2 linked regions of the Struthio camelus genome follow. The protein of the gene in region 2 interacts with the protein of the main gene of each other region in a pairwise test. Links are inferred from orthologs where the notes say so. Each region holds a gene or a part of one and is shown on either strand. Other genes may lie near its edges.

Evidence for each region.
Region 1: the proteins of TADA2A (region 2) and SF3A3 interact in binary tests that used the Homo sapiens proteins (3 or more experiments, as listed by UniProt). The two-hybrid records come from large-scale screens. The link is inferred for Struthio camelus from reciprocal best matches to the Homo sapiens genes TADA2A and SF3A3.

What each region holds. Positions count from the first base shown.
Region 1 is NC_090964.1:11,168,477-11,176,267, forward strand, and holds the start of SF3A3 (splicing factor 3A subunit 3), read right to left. Parts: upstream 3,057-7,791; 5' UTR 2,993-3,056; coding exon 2,897-2,992; intron 2,220-2,896; coding exon 2,172-2,219; intron 2,003-2,171; coding exon 1,950-2,002; intron 1,437-1,949; coding exon 1,331-1,436; intron 459-1,330; coding exon 386-458; intron 1-385. UniProt on the Homo sapiens protein: Component of the 17S U2 SnRNP complex of the spliceosome, a large ribonucleoprotein complex that removes introns from transcribed pre-mRNAs.
Region 2 is NC_090957.1:20,323,883-20,331,261, reverse strand, and holds the start of TADA2A (transcriptional adapter 2-alpha), read right to left. Parts: upstream 3,024-7,379; 5' UTR 2,927-3,023; intron 1,418-2,926; 5' UTR 1,168-1,417; coding exon 1,143-1,167; intron 321-1,142; coding exon 214-320; intron 1-213. Other genes in the region: C16H17orf78 (uncharacterized protein C17orf78 homolog), read right to left, coding at 6,346-6,417. UniProt on the Homo sapiens protein: Component of the ATAC complex, a complex with histone acetyltransferase activity on histones H3 and H4. Required for the function of some acidic activation domains, which activate transcription from a distant site. Binds double-stranded DNA.

The DNA.
Region 1 (7,791 bases), on a different chromosome or scaffold from region 2:
AAGAGCTTTATTATGAGCTTAAGCTTCCTGATTTATCATACATACATGCTAGAATTTGAAAAGGATTAACTGTGGATTAATTTATGCTTAAACAAGATGTCTATGATGCAAGAGGCATCCTCAGTGATGAGATACCTGGCTGCTTCTCTACGTAAATATACTAGAACATTCCCCAAGAGAAGCAGCGCTACTGTGGAACCTTCCAGGGTGGCTCCAGTTCAGAAGGAATTAAATGAAATAAGAACAATTCTCTGAAGTAATTTAGTAAAAGGAAAGTAGAATTCTAAAACATGCAAGACAGACCCTATAGTTCATTAAATAACTCCTCTCAAGTAAGCATAACTTTTTTACTTAAATTAGCCTCAGAATAAAACTACAGACTTACTTTGCGCCTCTTCACTTGGGTTGTCTCTGGCCTTCAGCAGCTCCTCAAACTCCACTGACATTGGAACACAGATCTTCAAAAACAGACAGAAGTTTCAGATAAAAGATTACTTCAGCTAATGTCCCAGGACGGTCAATATGAAATCACAGTAGCAAACCTCATAACTGAAAAGGCATCCAGCGCACAGTCTATGAAAATCTTGTTCCAAATCCTAGTTCCCCATACAATAGAGGAAAACAAAACCAAAAACTCCAGCTCCCTACTGATTCTGGGTACTTGGTTCCCCTTGGATAATGTTTACTCATACCACTCAGCAACCCTGCCTGCACATATACGTGCAGTATATCTGAGATTTTAAATAGCAGAGGGTGACTCTCCTTGCTACTGAGGGCAGAAAAGCCAACATCTGAGGTGTCTGCAGTTCAGTGCAGAGACTGGAGGGACAGAACAGCAAACAACTTTACAATGTGACGGCAGAGAAATTCCTTTGCCTTTCCCACATTTATCCAAACTAATTCTGAGTGCAGAAGAGAGGTCCTGAACTCATCAGCGCAGGCCAGCATTTCCTCACCATTACTTTTGCAAAGAAGAAAAGACACTACCCTTTAATCTGACGTTAGGCAGCATGAGAAAGACGAGACTGAATGCCAGCTCAGCAGCAGAGTGTTCCTAAACTAATACACAGCACCCAGAGAACACGGTTAGCATCTTGCATTTTTTCCTATTGTCGCAGCGCTCATAGCTTACATACAGCCTCTGAAGCACCATCTACCTTTAGATGTTTTCTTTTCCCAAGTGACATTTTAGTACTTGTCACTAAACCTTACTTTGTTGTAAATTATGTATTAAGGTAACTAAATTGAACAAAACAAATTCTGCTTATTGTAGGGATGAAGCCCAGCAGACCACAAGTCACCTGTTCTTATGAAGTAGATGATTATTTACCTCATTTGGGTGCTTCCGATGAAATTCTTTAATCTGTTTTAGTCTGTTGTAGAATTCTGCAAATTCATTTGGTCCTGAGATGGCACTGAGTTCTTCTTTTCGTAAGCTATAAGTTCATAAAAAAAGATTACAACAGGGAAGTCTGTAACGTGTTTGTGCCAATATAGTCTTTCTTCGTGTTTAGTACTGCATTTCAGTTACACAATGTTCCAGTAAGACTGACTGCATAGCAGGAGATGTTTGGTGGCCTCAGACAGTTATACATGCATTTCACAGGCTTATACTTTAAGACTGCAGGTCATGTCTCCTATTGAAAATGCAGTAGTCTCCACTTAGCAAGGTTCAAAGTGGCTCAAGGGCCTCCCCCAGTGACTTAAACCAGGAAAGTGACAAAACATGTATATTGTTCCACATGAAGATATTCGGCATGAAATCTGGGCGCTGCTCTAGGCACTGCCAGGTTTAGTCTCCAAAACCTGATCAATGTTCTCAAATACCAGCATTATTTCCTGAATATTTAAAATACACTTAAAAGCCCCTCCAGGTTCCTAGGTAAAACGCATCCAGCAGACATTGAGGCAGATGCAGTACCAGAAGAAGTGTCTGTACAAGCCCTTACCCGTCCTTGTCATCATACAGGTCCCTCAGGTTGCCGCTCACTTCCATATACCTCTGAAAAACACAACAAAGCCCAAAATGCCACAGGGGAACGTTAATAGCCACCCAGACCCACTGTTTCCTGGCTGCTCTGGCAATGACAGGCAGCGGCCCATTCCCACGTCGCTCCAGGGGGCTCAGAGCGCCAGCAGCAGCCCAGCCCCGCCCCGGTTCTGGCACTCACGTCCTGCATGGCCCGCGTCCGGTGGTCGGAGTTGATCTGGTCACGGAGCTGCGCGCAGAGGAGCACGGTTAGTGCGGACCAGGCCTGGCCTGGCCCCGGCCCTGGCCTCTGCCCCCCTGCCCCTCGACCCCGGCCCCAGCCACGGCCCCGGCCTCTCCCCCCAGCCCCAGCCCCAGCCCCGGCCCCGGCCCCAGCCCCAGCCCCGGCCCCGGCCTCTGCCCGCCGGCCCCCCGGCCTCTGCCCCCCAGCCCCGGCCTCTGCCCGCCGGCCCCCCGGCCTCTGCCCGCCGGCCCCCCGGCCTCTGCCCCCCGGCCCCCCGGCCTCTGCCCGCCGGCCCCCCGGCCTCTGCCCGCCGGCCCCCCGGCCTCTGCCCGCCGGCCCCCCGGCCTCTGCCCCCCGGCCCCCCGGCCTCTGCCCCCCGGCCCCGGCCTCTGCCCGCCGGCCCCCCGGCCTCTGCCCGCCGGCCCCCCGGCCTCTGCCCCCCGGCCCCCCGGCCTCTGCCCGCCGGCCCCCCGGCCTCTGCCCCCCGGCCCCCCGGCCTCTGCCCGCCGGCCCCCCGGCCTCTGCCCCCCGGCCCCGGCCTCTGCCCGCCGGCCCCCCGGCCTCTGCCCCCCGGCCCCCCGGCCTCTGCCCGCCGGCCCCGGCCCCGGCCTCCGCTCCCTGGCCCGGCCCGGCCCCAGGCCCCCGGCCCCGATCCGGCGGCGGGCGCGGCCCCGCGGGCGCACCGTGGACTTCTTGGTGAGCATCTCCTTCACCATGACGTCCATGAGCCGCTCGCGCTCCTCGTGGTAGCGCCGCTGCTGCTCCAGGATCGTCTCCATCCTCCCGCGCACCGACCGGAAGCCGCCGCTGCCCCCTTCCGGCCCGGCCCGCGCCCGGCGGGGGCGCTCCGGCCCGGCCCGCGCCCGCCACCAAGGTTCCGCCGGCGCGAAGGTTCCGGGGCGGCGGCGGGCGCGGCCGGGGCCGGGCGGGCTCAGGGCGGCGGCAGGGCCGGGCCGGGCCGGCAGAAGGCGCCCGCCGCAGCGCCGCCGCCGAGGCCCGCGGCCGAGCCGCCTCTCAGCTCCCGCCGCCGCGCAGAGCCGCGACCGGCCCCGCCCGGGGGCGACCGAGTCCTGCCGCCGCCGCCGCCGCCGCCCCCCACAGCCCCGAGGCCTCGCACAGCCCCGCCGCCCCCCACATCCCCGAGGCCTCGCACATCCCCGCCGCCCCCCACGTCCCCGCCGCCCCCCACAGCCCCGCCGCCCCCCACGTCCCCGCCGCCCCCCACGTCCCTGCCGTCCCCCACATCCCCACCGCCCCCCACAGCCCCGAGGCCTCGCACATCCCCGCCGCCCCCCACGTCCCTGCCGCCCCCCACATCCCCGCCGCCCCCCACAGCCCTGAGGCCTCGCACAGCCCCGCCGCCCCCCACAGCCCCGAGGCCTCGCACAGCCCCGCCGCCCCCCACGTCCCTGCCGCCCCCCACATCCCTGCCGCCCCCGACATCCGCGGCCCCGCTGGCGGCCGAGGCGGGGGGCTGAGCCGGCCGGGCCCAGCCGGAGGGGGAGGCGTGCAGGCCCCGCCAGGCCCTCGCCTCCCGCCTGGGCTCCCCGCTCCGTTGCACCCCGCAGTTCGCCGGCGCCAGGGCAGCGCTGGCTGCGGCCGGGGGGAGCTGGGCAGCACCGACCCTCCGGTGCCGCGCGCTGCCCCGCACTGCCGTCGGCCTCGGGTCGGGGCTGGCCCGGCCTCCGCACTGCGGCCACCTTCCTTGGAAGCGAGGCGAGGGGGGGACGGGGACGGGGACGGGGACGGGGACGGGAGGAGTCGCGCGGGGAAGCAGCCGCGTCTCGTCTCGTAACATTGGGCTTGAGACGAGGGCTGGGCCGGCGAGGTGCGGGGACGCCGGCGAGGTGCGGGGACGCCGGCGAGGTGCGGGGACGCCGGCTCGGCCAGCGCGCGGCCGTCAGCGCCGGCCCAGCAGCGCAGCCCCCGTGGCCTGGACCCTGGCAGCCCGGGAAGAGCCGCAGCGCCCGCGCGGGGCCCGGCCCGGCCCCGGCCCCGCGACGCCCTGGCGGACCGCCGGCCCGGCCTGGGGCCTGGAAGGAAGAAGAGCTGCGGTGCAGCGTGCAGCCCGCACTGCCCCGGCGTCCCAGCTGCAGCCCGGCACCTGGCGAACGCGGACCTCGGCTGGCCGTTGCTGCTGAACGCAAAGACCACGTGGGCCGCGCACCAGAACCGGCGGCCCAGCAGCCTGCGCCCGAGCGACCTGCCGGGGGGACCCTCCCGCGGGAGCCGTGCCTGCGTCCTTCCACTCTCCTTCGGTTTCAATCGCCTTCTTCACATCCAACCGTAGTGCCGAGGAGAGCTCGTGCCAGTGCTTTGCCCCCACTTTGCCAAATACAAAGCTGTAATTAAATTTTAACTCACAAATAAATTATTCATCTTTTTTTACCATGCAGACTACATTACTTTAAGCCGAAAGCAACAAAAAAAGAAAATTGGGCATAATTACGGCAGACAAAGATGATTCTGCCCTGGGAACAGCCAATTCACCAAGGAGAGGATGATACTAAAAGTAAGAATATTGTCTTTAATTATGGTCCCGCACTAGAGGCTGCCTCTCAGTACGTCATTTTTTCCTCGTGAATGCCTGTCTAAAAATAAAAGCAGAGATAAGATCCTGAACTTAACGTTCCTCCACTTCCCGTTGCATGAAACTTCACCCCAGGAGCAGTAAGGGGGTGCAATCTGGCGGTGCCCCGTGCACCGGGGCTGGCGGCGCCAGGAGGGTCGCGGCCGGGGGAGCAGCCGCTGCACGAGCGTCTGGCCTGGGACGGGCCGGGGCGACGTCCTGCTCCGGGACGCGGCTTTCCCTGTCCGGGCAGAGCGGCCTGCCGAACCGGCACAAACCCGCTCCCTCCCGGCAGCGGCGCCCCGGTGGGAAGCGCCGGGGAGGGGGCAGCAGCCCCCGCCGCCCCCGCCCCACCGTTAGCCTGCCCTTAACGATATTTTCATGACTGCTCCGACCCGCGCTCCGGGAGTCTCAGGGGACGTTTGTGCATGACATCAGCCTCCCCTTCCTGCAAGCCAGGCACCGGGCCGTGCATATCCATGACCCATTCATGACAGGGATAAAATCCAGATGTTCCAGCGCTACGTGCAGCTGGGTCATTTCCTTTTTTGGCTAAAAACGTGAGGCTCTTGAGGCTGACTGAAAGAGGAGCCTGGGGGCCCTTTGTACAGAAACCTTTTGTGGTTAATCCCTGGAAACAGCGCTGCAGAAACAAGGGTTTGTGGTGCTGCTGCTGGAGGACAGACGCCGCTGGAAACCTCCCGGGCCAGAGCTGCCTGCTCATCGCTTGGGGCCCAGCGGCAGCAAAAGCAGAGCCCAGCGCAGGTCGAGGGCAGCAACGGCAGCAGAATCGTACTGGGAAAAACCCTTTAGCTGCCGGCGCCAACGTTTGCGGGAGCCTTTGAAGGAGCCAGGAGCCTGCACGCCCAGAGGCAGCGCCGCGGTCTGGCACGAGCTCGCGGCGGCCTGCGCGGAGCCGGCGGCAGCGGCTCCTGCGGGAGCGACGCCTCCGCGCCGAGGGGGGCCGGGGCTGGGGCCGAGCAGGCCGGCCCAGAGGAAGTCGTGGCTGCTGTTAGTAAACGTAAAGGAATCTGCGGAAAATAGTTTCAGATGCTAGGGGAATAAACGGGTCCCCAGCTGACATCCCGAGCAACGAGCACGCAGCGCTGCAGCGAAGGGAGCCCGCTGCCACCCCGGCTGCGGACGACGGCAGCATCCGCCCGAGCCTCCTCCCGAGAGGTGGCACGCGGGCCGGGGGCACGGGGGGCACGCTTCTGCCGCCGGACGTGGCTGAGCGGCGCGGTGACCCAGGCCGGCTGCCCCGGGCCATCGCTGCGGATGCGGCGGGAGCTGCCGCTCCTGGGCTGCGATGCAGCGTGGCGCAGCCGGGGCGTGAGGATGGGGAAGGGACTTGCCAGGACCCCGGCCTGTCCCCACGGTGGAGCTAGGGGAGATACCTGCAGGGAGCCACAGACCACCTCTGCTTTTGGAGGACAAGGCTGAGCGCAGACCCCTTCGGGCAGCCCGCCGCCCTGCGCCTGCTGCTCAAGAAACACGTGAAAGCAAGTGTCACTAAAACAGTTTATTATATAAAGCCTTAGGAAACATACAGGAGGTGAGGTCTAGGACACTTCCTTCTAGAGACTGCTCCAAGCTCCTTAGAATAGTGAACACACAAACTCTGATTTGCCTGCATCAAAGCTTTCAAACGAGGGTTCAATGAGGATCTGAATACAGAATTAATAACTCTAACATGCATAACGTTCTCCGTTCGTAAGTGAATCCTGTGACGGGGGCTAGCCCCTTCATCCTGCGCTTTGGTTACAAAATGACAGATATTCACGACAAGAGAGTACAAAAGGAGAAAAAAACCCACAAGAGATGCATTCAGAAAAGCCTGCGGCTGTCTAAACAGGAAAGCAGGGTTGGCACAAGCGCCCCAAGCACGCTAGAGCAAGGGGGACAGAGGCAAGGCAGGCATGAGCACCCAAAGGGGCCGTGGGGGCCCGGGGCCGGCTCAGCTGTGGGGCAAGGACAGCACAAGCCCTTGTGTGGGACCGGGAGGGTTCAGCAGCCTGTGTGCTATTTTGCAGTTAGGGCCACAGCAGGGACTTGGGAGCTGCAAAGCTTCTCCCCAGGGGAGCCCAGCTGCCACCCTTGCTTTGCCTCTCATTCGGGAGGAGCGTGGCCAGGGAGCCTCTCCCTGTGCCGGGCAGGAACGCTCAGCCCCAGCAGGAGCAGGGCGGGGGGACGCCCCGGCCGACCTTCGGGGGCTCGCTGCGCCACGGAGCTCCTGCCTTCCTCCCTCCATCCGCCCCAGCGGCCACCAAGCACAGCAGCAGCCTGCAGACAACTCCAGAACTAATGAAATGTCTTTGGTGATCTTTGTGTCACTGCCGGCTGGCCTCGGTAAGGCAGTCCCTATTCTGCAGTTCCCCATGAGAGGGAACGAGCAGGAATAAAAACCCTCAGTGCTCTAACAGCCTCCAAAACACCCTGCTCCGCTGTTTCGCTAGAAGTATCTCAGGCAGCATCACCAGCTCTAGCTCGGGTAGCTGCAAACACGGCCACATGTGCAAACAGCTACAAGGCAGCTTCAGGGCTGAACAGAACAGAGGCAGCCGTGGGGAGGTTGCAGCACAGGCAGGAGGATGGGAATGGGCCAGAAAGGTGGCAGGGCTAGAGTGCTCCATACTCACTGGCGGTTTGAGGTCCTTTTCCACATCTGAGTGAGAGCAATTCCGTGGAGACACGCAGAGCAAAGGGCCTGGGCCCACAAAGGGTGAGGTGGCTAGAGAAATGGGGAGTGGTTCCCATCTGGCATGATGCATGATATTCTTCTGACCGTGCTCCAGCCTGGTGTCCCCAGACTTCCCAAATGGGGCAGGGAGAACCTTTTGGGCCCAGGTCATGCAATGCCACAGGCTAAACCGCGCGTGCAGAAAAGGCCATGCTGCAAAGCCATCCACTACACAGGCTGACAAGGCCAAGCTGCACGGTCTAGGAGCTGCTGTCTTGATCACACAGAGCAAAGGGAGCACACAGGGAAAAGAGAAAAATCCGCATTGT
Region 2 (7,379 bases):
CTTCTCAAAGATCTCTCTCCTTCAGCTGTTCAAGCTAAATTCTTAGCCTTCAACACCTTCTTTGTCATTTCCCTGTCCTTGAGCAAATATGTGCTTTGATACAAGTTTACAGAGACCAATTATTAATGTGTTTATGTAACAGCTTGGTATGAGACAGGCCTTTGATGACTTTCTTAAAGAAATGAATGTCTTCACTTTTATCCTTGCACTCACCTGCAAACACAGGAGGAAGGGAGGAGGCCCACACTCAGCACACTTGACGTAGGGCTCTGTGAGGTAGGAAGAGCAGCCTCGGCACGGAGGCTTATCAAAAGGGTCATCTGTGAAGCCAACAAGTAAATCTCATGCAACACAAACATGACACTGTTTTTGCTATCATTCAAATATCCAATAATTTTAATAATTTAAAGTGAAGTCAGCTGTATATAACCTCTTTCCTACTGGAGCTTCTCCAAATAGCCGTTGAAAGTTCCTTGTTCAGCTGAAGCTTCCAGAGAGATCCTGGCACTTCCTCTCTGCTAGACCTAAAACTTTGAGGGCTAAATAGCCTACTCTTGTGCAATGGAGTCAAAGGAAAGCCCTCTCTGGAGCAGCCTATCAGTATTTCTCAGCAGTGATGCAATGAGCTGTGCTAGCTGGTTGATTTGATCCAGTGCCCATGGTCATGTCTTGCACTGAAGATGAGTCCCAAGGACCTTACTTATGGAGAAGATTGCACAGACAGCTGTAGTTTCCCATCCATCTACCTCAAGTCTGACCTGAACAGCTTATTGTTGTGGTTGCAAAGGCATGCATTCTACTGTTCTGTAACCCATCCAATCCTCAGACACTGTTCAAATTGCTGAACAAGGAATCAAACACTGTTCTACAAGTTTTTCTTATTTTGTTCATTACAAAGTAGTCAAATTAAACAGGCTGTCAATTAGTAAAAGCCGTAACTAGTCCCACTATATAACAAGGAGGCAAAAAAGATCCAAATTCCCACCAAATAATTCATATACCAGTTGTGCTTTTGAGAATTCGATTAAAGTAGTGACCCTGTGGACCAAATATTGCTACTTTTCCGTCTCCCTCCCCCAGCTTACTGCTGATGTCTTTAAAAAATGGCAAACCCTTTCCAAATCTCAGCTTATGGTACTTACTGCTGAAGGAGGCCAGGCGCTCCATTCCTCTCCCTCCCTCTCCTCTTCCTCCCGATATTCTTGCTCCTCTGAGTAACACCTGTCCTGCTATAAAAGACTGTAGCGTAAGCTTCGCCCCAACCAGTATGTTCAACTTTCCACCTGAAGGGTATTTTCCACTTGAAGGAAAGGAGTCTCACACAGTCCTGATAGAGGAGATCCTCTCAGAATGTGCCGAGCAGGAAAGCAAAAGAGCTGTGGACAGTCACTGTAACAGGGACCACTTGATGTGTTTTCTGCAGGTGAGAGAAGAAATCAAACGCAGACAGGTAAGATTCATAGTATGAAGAGATCTGAAGAGATGGGGATATAACTTAAGGTGAATATGCCCCAGTAAAGACAGTGGCTGAAGTGACTGTAGCATCAGAAATCTTCAAATGTGGTATAGTAGCGATCCCCGCAACTGCTGCTGTGAGGGAAGTGCAGTAGCGACAACTAACGAAGAAAGAAGGAATAAGGTTTACACAAGGTCAGGGAGCGAACAAGTGGCAGAGACGGGATTTGGTTAATCCTGATTTTTGCTCTAAACCCCAAATGACAAGCCTGAACAAAATTCCCAGTGGGAAGCTGGACAGCAATCCCAATTTGTTTCCCACTAGCAAGGTACAATTTTTGTGAGAACCAGCAGCGTCTTACCTGAACCTAATTTTACCTGGACTAGTTTTCCCTCCAAGAGACTTTAATTACATAAATGACACATTAAATGCTTCATGGAATTTACTGATACCAAAAAGTCAAAGCAAAAAAGCCCATCCCAAAACAGCAACACTACAAAGTACTGCTGGTGAAATCCTAAATGGAAGCTTTCATCCGGAAACGCATGTGGTGAGCGGTTATGGACGTCTGTTATGCAAGAAAGAGCCCTGCACCTCCAAGAAGCACCAGGAAGAGAAGGAGCAGGCTGTCGGTGGCAGGGCACACAGTGACGCAGGAACCTAGCACACTGACATCCAGTACGCTTTCGGTGTTGGTTGTGTGGCAGCTCTACGAACAGCCGTTATTCACCAGTATCTGTACAGCGAGGTCCTACAGTGCTGCCCATCACCAAGGACTTGGGTTGTTTTCCACTACGGGATCTCCGGTGCATCTCACTCTTACGAGGTGCCTTAGCTGGGAAAGGCTCTGACTTTTCGCACACTGAAATTTGTGTTTATCTTTCTAGACCTTCTTCCTCCGTTGCGCCACACGGCGAAGCACGGTCCAGCGTCCCGGGACAGGCCCGCAGCTGCGCAGCCCCTCCGATCCCTGCACCTCTGCCCGCCTCCTCGGAGGACCGGGAGCAACTTCGGGGCCGGACGTCTCACCCCGCGGCCGTGAGGGACTCGCCGCGGCCCCCTCCGGACGGTCCCTCGCAGCCCGGCGTGCGCGGGGCGCCGCAGGTGGGGACGCGGCCCCGGGGGCCTCGACTGCCCACGTCGCATCGCTCCATGTCCTGCACCCCCTGCCCCACGCGCGGCCTGGCCCTGGCGGACGCGTCTCCCCGCCGCCGCCGCCGCCGCCGCCGCCGCCGCCAGGGGGCGCCCCGCCCGGCCAGGCCCCGCCCCCTCCGGCCAGGCCCCGCCCCGGCCCCGCCCCAACGCGGGCCGTGACGGGAGAGGCGAGCGCGCTCCCCTCCCCCCGCCGCGCGCGCCCCTCCCCGCCCCCGGCCCGGCCCGGCCCCTCCCGGCTCTGGGCACGGTCCCCCCCTCGCCCCTCGCCCCTCCCGGGCCGGGGCGGCGCTCGGGCCGCGCCCCGCCGCCTCTCACCTCAGGCCGGGCGGCGGGCAGGCCCCGCGCGCCGCGGCTCGCCGTGCCCGGCCCCGTTCCTGCCGGCGTGCGCGCGCGCGGGCGGGCGGTTGCGTGCGCGGGCGGGCGGTTGCGTGCGCGCTCCCGCGCCGCCGGCGGGGCCTGCTGGGTGGTGTGAGAGTGTCTGTGTCCCGGCTGTGCGTGTACCTGTACGTACAGCCAGTAGGGTGTGTCTGTCTGTCTCTGCGGGTGTGTTGTACAGCCGGCAGGGTCTCTGCGTGTGTGGTGTGTGTGTGTGCACAGCCCAGGGTGTGTGGTGTCCGGGTAGGTGCCTACAGCCTGGTGTGTGTGTATGTAGCTGTATACAGCCTCGGGGTGTGTGTGTGTGTGTGTACATAGGTACCTACAGCCTCGCGAGGGTGTGTGTTGTGTGTGCTGTGTGTTTATGTACAGACATACAGCCTAGGGGGGCGTGTATATATATGTACAGACAGCCTATAGGGTGTGCACCTGTTTGTAGCCTATGGGGGGTGTGTAGGTTTAGGTGTTCGCCTCAGCTTGGGGTGTGTGTGTGTGTGTAGGTGTAGGTGTACACCTCAGTTTGGAGGGGTGTAGGTGTGCGCCTCAACTTGGTGTGTGTGTGGGTGTAGGTGTATGCCTCAGCTTGAGGGGGTGTGTGTGTAGGTGTATGCCTCAGCTTGGAGGGTGTGTGTGTAGGTGTTCGCCTCAGCTTGGAGGGGGGGGGTGTAGGTGTAGGTGTACGCCTCAGCTTGGAGGGGATGTGTGAGTACCCACGCGCCGTGGGGGGTGCGAGCCCCACAGCCTGTGGGGAGCGTGTGTCCCTGCCAAAGGGGACCACGCTGTTACAAGCTAAAAGACAGTATTGGCACAGTAACAAATATCGTTCAACCAGGAGTAAGTTTAGGCTGGAAATTAAAAGGGGCTCCTAGCCTTATAGCAGTTTGTGGGTTTTGAGTGCGAGCGTTACTTCATCTGTACCTTCCAGCTAGGGCTTCTTCATGTGACCAGCAGCAGGGCTAAGAAGATGAGATGTGCTAGCAATTCGAATTCCCTGCTGTGGGAAAAGACAAGGCAGCGGCGGCCTTGGAGGTTGGCATTACTTGGCCCCCACGAGTCAGAGCTTGCACATGCTGGAAGAAAATTGCCTTGCCTGATCAAGGCCACATGCCAAGAAGAGTGACAAGAACGCTCCAAGTGCAGAAGAGGGACGGGACTGCCATGCATGTGACTGGAAGAGGGAGAAAAAAAGTGACTTAACTTCATTAGAAGTTTGAAGCAAGATACTGTCCCTCCAGGTTTGCAAGGCCCCCGTGTCTCATGCAAGTATATGTCAAATAAGTCTTGTAGCAGTAAAATAGTAAGGAATTAATAGTTTCTCATGTAGCAGTAATTATTTTCCTAGCAGTGATGGGGTGATTGTTAGCAACTGGCTGCAACCCCACCATCTTCTTCTGCAGGTCTTCCCCCGGCAGCTGTTTGCCCTTTGTGTCAGACTTGGCCTGGATTATGTGGCTCATGAGCTAGAACTGGGAGGAGTTACAGAGGGTAGCGCGGTGAAGGAAGATGTGAGCATGAACGAGGGAAAAACTTTAGAGAAGAGTAAGAAAGATCATAACAGGTAGACAGAAGAGAGGGTGGCCTGCGGCAGCAGCATAGGCAGTGGTGGCAGTCAGCGTCCAGGGACCAGGAGGAGAAGAATGGAGCATCTTGTTCATCTTCCCTGCCTGGGACGCTCCCCAGCAGTGATCTTTTGAAGCTGCTGCTTTTCACAAGTAACTTAGAAGCTGTAGGTGATGTGTAATGTGTCTCCATCTCCTGTCAGCTCATGAACTTGCACAAACGTCTGTGTATGTCTAAATCATTTATACAGAAAGGGATCTTTCGTCCTTCCCCTGTCTGTTTGCAGGCTAGTGCCTGTGAGGTCTTTTGTGGCTGTCCCCCATGTACACTTTGAATGTCTTTGTGAACTAGGTGCACTTGTGGGCTTGTTGAGGACATCCTGACAGAGGGCTTTGGATAGGGCTTAGCTCGCCAAGTCTTGCGTTGCGTGAAACCCTAAAGCTCAGGAATGAGTTAGCTAGTGGCATTGTTTAAAGAGCCATTTGTTTTTGCATGAGACAGTCTGGATAGCCAATCTGGCACAGTGGTAATACACATCTCGTGATAGCTCTCATGACCTCTACAGTAGCCTCATATGCTGTACTGTGTTCTTGAGGGGACGTAGTACTCCTTCTGAGCCTGGTGTAATTGTAATAGTAATGCTGATAATTAAAATGTTCTTTAGCACAAATATTAGGTAGATTCTGCGTATGTTTATGATGCCCTGGTTCTGGCAAATGTTACTGGTATTTCATGAATTTCCAATACTTGTTTGTACTTAGGCCCTGTTCTGCAATAAACTCTACCTGTCTGGAATGCCCCGCATGGGCAGTGCTCCACTCAGTGATACTGTATGTGGTGCTAATCCCCTCTTCTGAAAAGAACCACTGTCATTACTGTTCCAGTGCACCCTTTTTTTATGCTGTTGTGCAATTTTAATTTTGTGTGAATTTTTTCTGGTGCCGCCTCAGAGAACACATGACGTTGATTCAGATGAGCAGGATCTAGATCACTTGGGGGGGAAATGCTGTATTGTTCACTGGGAGCCTTGAAGGCTGCTCGTACTCGTTTATGCAGATTCTGAAGCATTTAATCCTTTGCCTGGGAACTTCAGATGAGAGCTGTTCTCCAGAGCAGACAGATGTAGCCTTTGGCAGTTGTATCTGAGAGCTGAAGACGGCATTAGAGATAAATACATTGCAAATAGATCAGACGTTCATTTTGTATCAGCACCTGAAAATGTGCACCTATTCAGATCTAGACAAGGGCTAAAGCTCAAAGATTAATATTTGTATTATCTCAAAGAGTAATATCTGCGTTATTCCTGTTGATGCTGGAGTAGGAGATCTGGTATTCTATATACTTCTTGTCTGAACTGTTTAACAGTCTGTTTAAGACGAGAGTAACATGTTGGAAATTATTTCCTTTCCCTTTTGCCCAGGCCCTAGACGCGTGTGAAAAAATCATGAGGAAAAAACTAAAAAATTGGGGAGGCAGAATTTGAAATGTCACTGGAATTTTTATTGCTTTCACCAACAGGTATTTCCTAATTCTAGGAGCTAAAATATGATTCCAGGTACTTGATGGAAGAAATCAACATATGGCTATCTTCACAGCAGTTGCCTTCTAAGTGAATTAACCTGATTGCTCCTAGCCAGGTAAACATTTCTTCCAACATAAGTCTCGTTCCAGTCTGCAATGGCTTGACTCGTGGTGGTGTAAACTGCTGTTGTTCGCTCTGCTGTGTCCAGGAGGGGGTCAGGAGAAAGCTGATGTACCTCCCCTGATGAAAAGAGTGTGCCTCTGAGGCCGGCAGCTTTTCACAGGTAGGTCTCATGAATGACAATGATTTTGAATCTTTCCTTGTAAGGCTCTTGGCCTGATGCTTCCTTCTGGCAAAGGAAGAAAAATACTCATCAGGAGTAATAAACAACCCTATTCCTAGAGTGTTATACCAGTGCTTGTGTGTTGTTGTTTCCCATATCAGTAATTTAGTGGTGCGACATCTCCTGGCTGAACTGAACTACAGAAGTTACAGTAAGCCTGATGTCTCCTGGAGGTGGCAATGAGATAAAAAACCTTTTGCCTGAAGTCTGTTCTGATGGCTTTCAGCTTGGAGGAGGCCCAGAGGTGTTACCACCTGATGGCTGTTCAATGGCCTGTGTGAAATGGCTCTTAAGGGTCTCAGTCCAATTTCCAAACCTCTCACTACAACACATTTCTCACAGTGCAGTTTCACTCCAAGAAGATCTAAGTGGATAATCTGTAATGAATAATGTATTCACATTTTATTTTTTTCTTCTCAGAAGTTTTAACAAATGAGGTGATTTTCATTTGCTATTTGAAATTATTTACCGATCATTTCTGCAAATTAAATGTTCTCAAGTGGTTTGTTCTGTATGTTTAATATTCAGAAGGCTTCTTGTGTGTTGACAGAGCTAAGCTCTCTAGTCTCGCAAGGTGATTGCTAGACCAGGGTGACAGACAAGTAAATGGATATGTTGAACTTAAGTAACTTGATCCCAATTCACTGTGAGAGGTGGGAGTAGGGTACAGCCTTGGAAGGTCACTTAATGGGGTAGGAAGCACAAGATTAAATCATTTCTTCATGAAAAGGCACCTTAATAATGCATTTCCAGGACCATGGTGATACTTAATTTTTTGAGGGGGAGGGATAGGTCTATCTTTGAACACAGTAATTGTTGCTTAAATGCACCTAAAACCAGGTTACCTCATGAAGACAGAACAAATGAACCCAAACTAGCCTCATAAGTCCTCCCCATGCTGATAGTCCCAGCTTCCCTGCTTCCCTCCTGTACCACTGGTTCCCTCCTGCCTCCGCTCAGGACCGCTG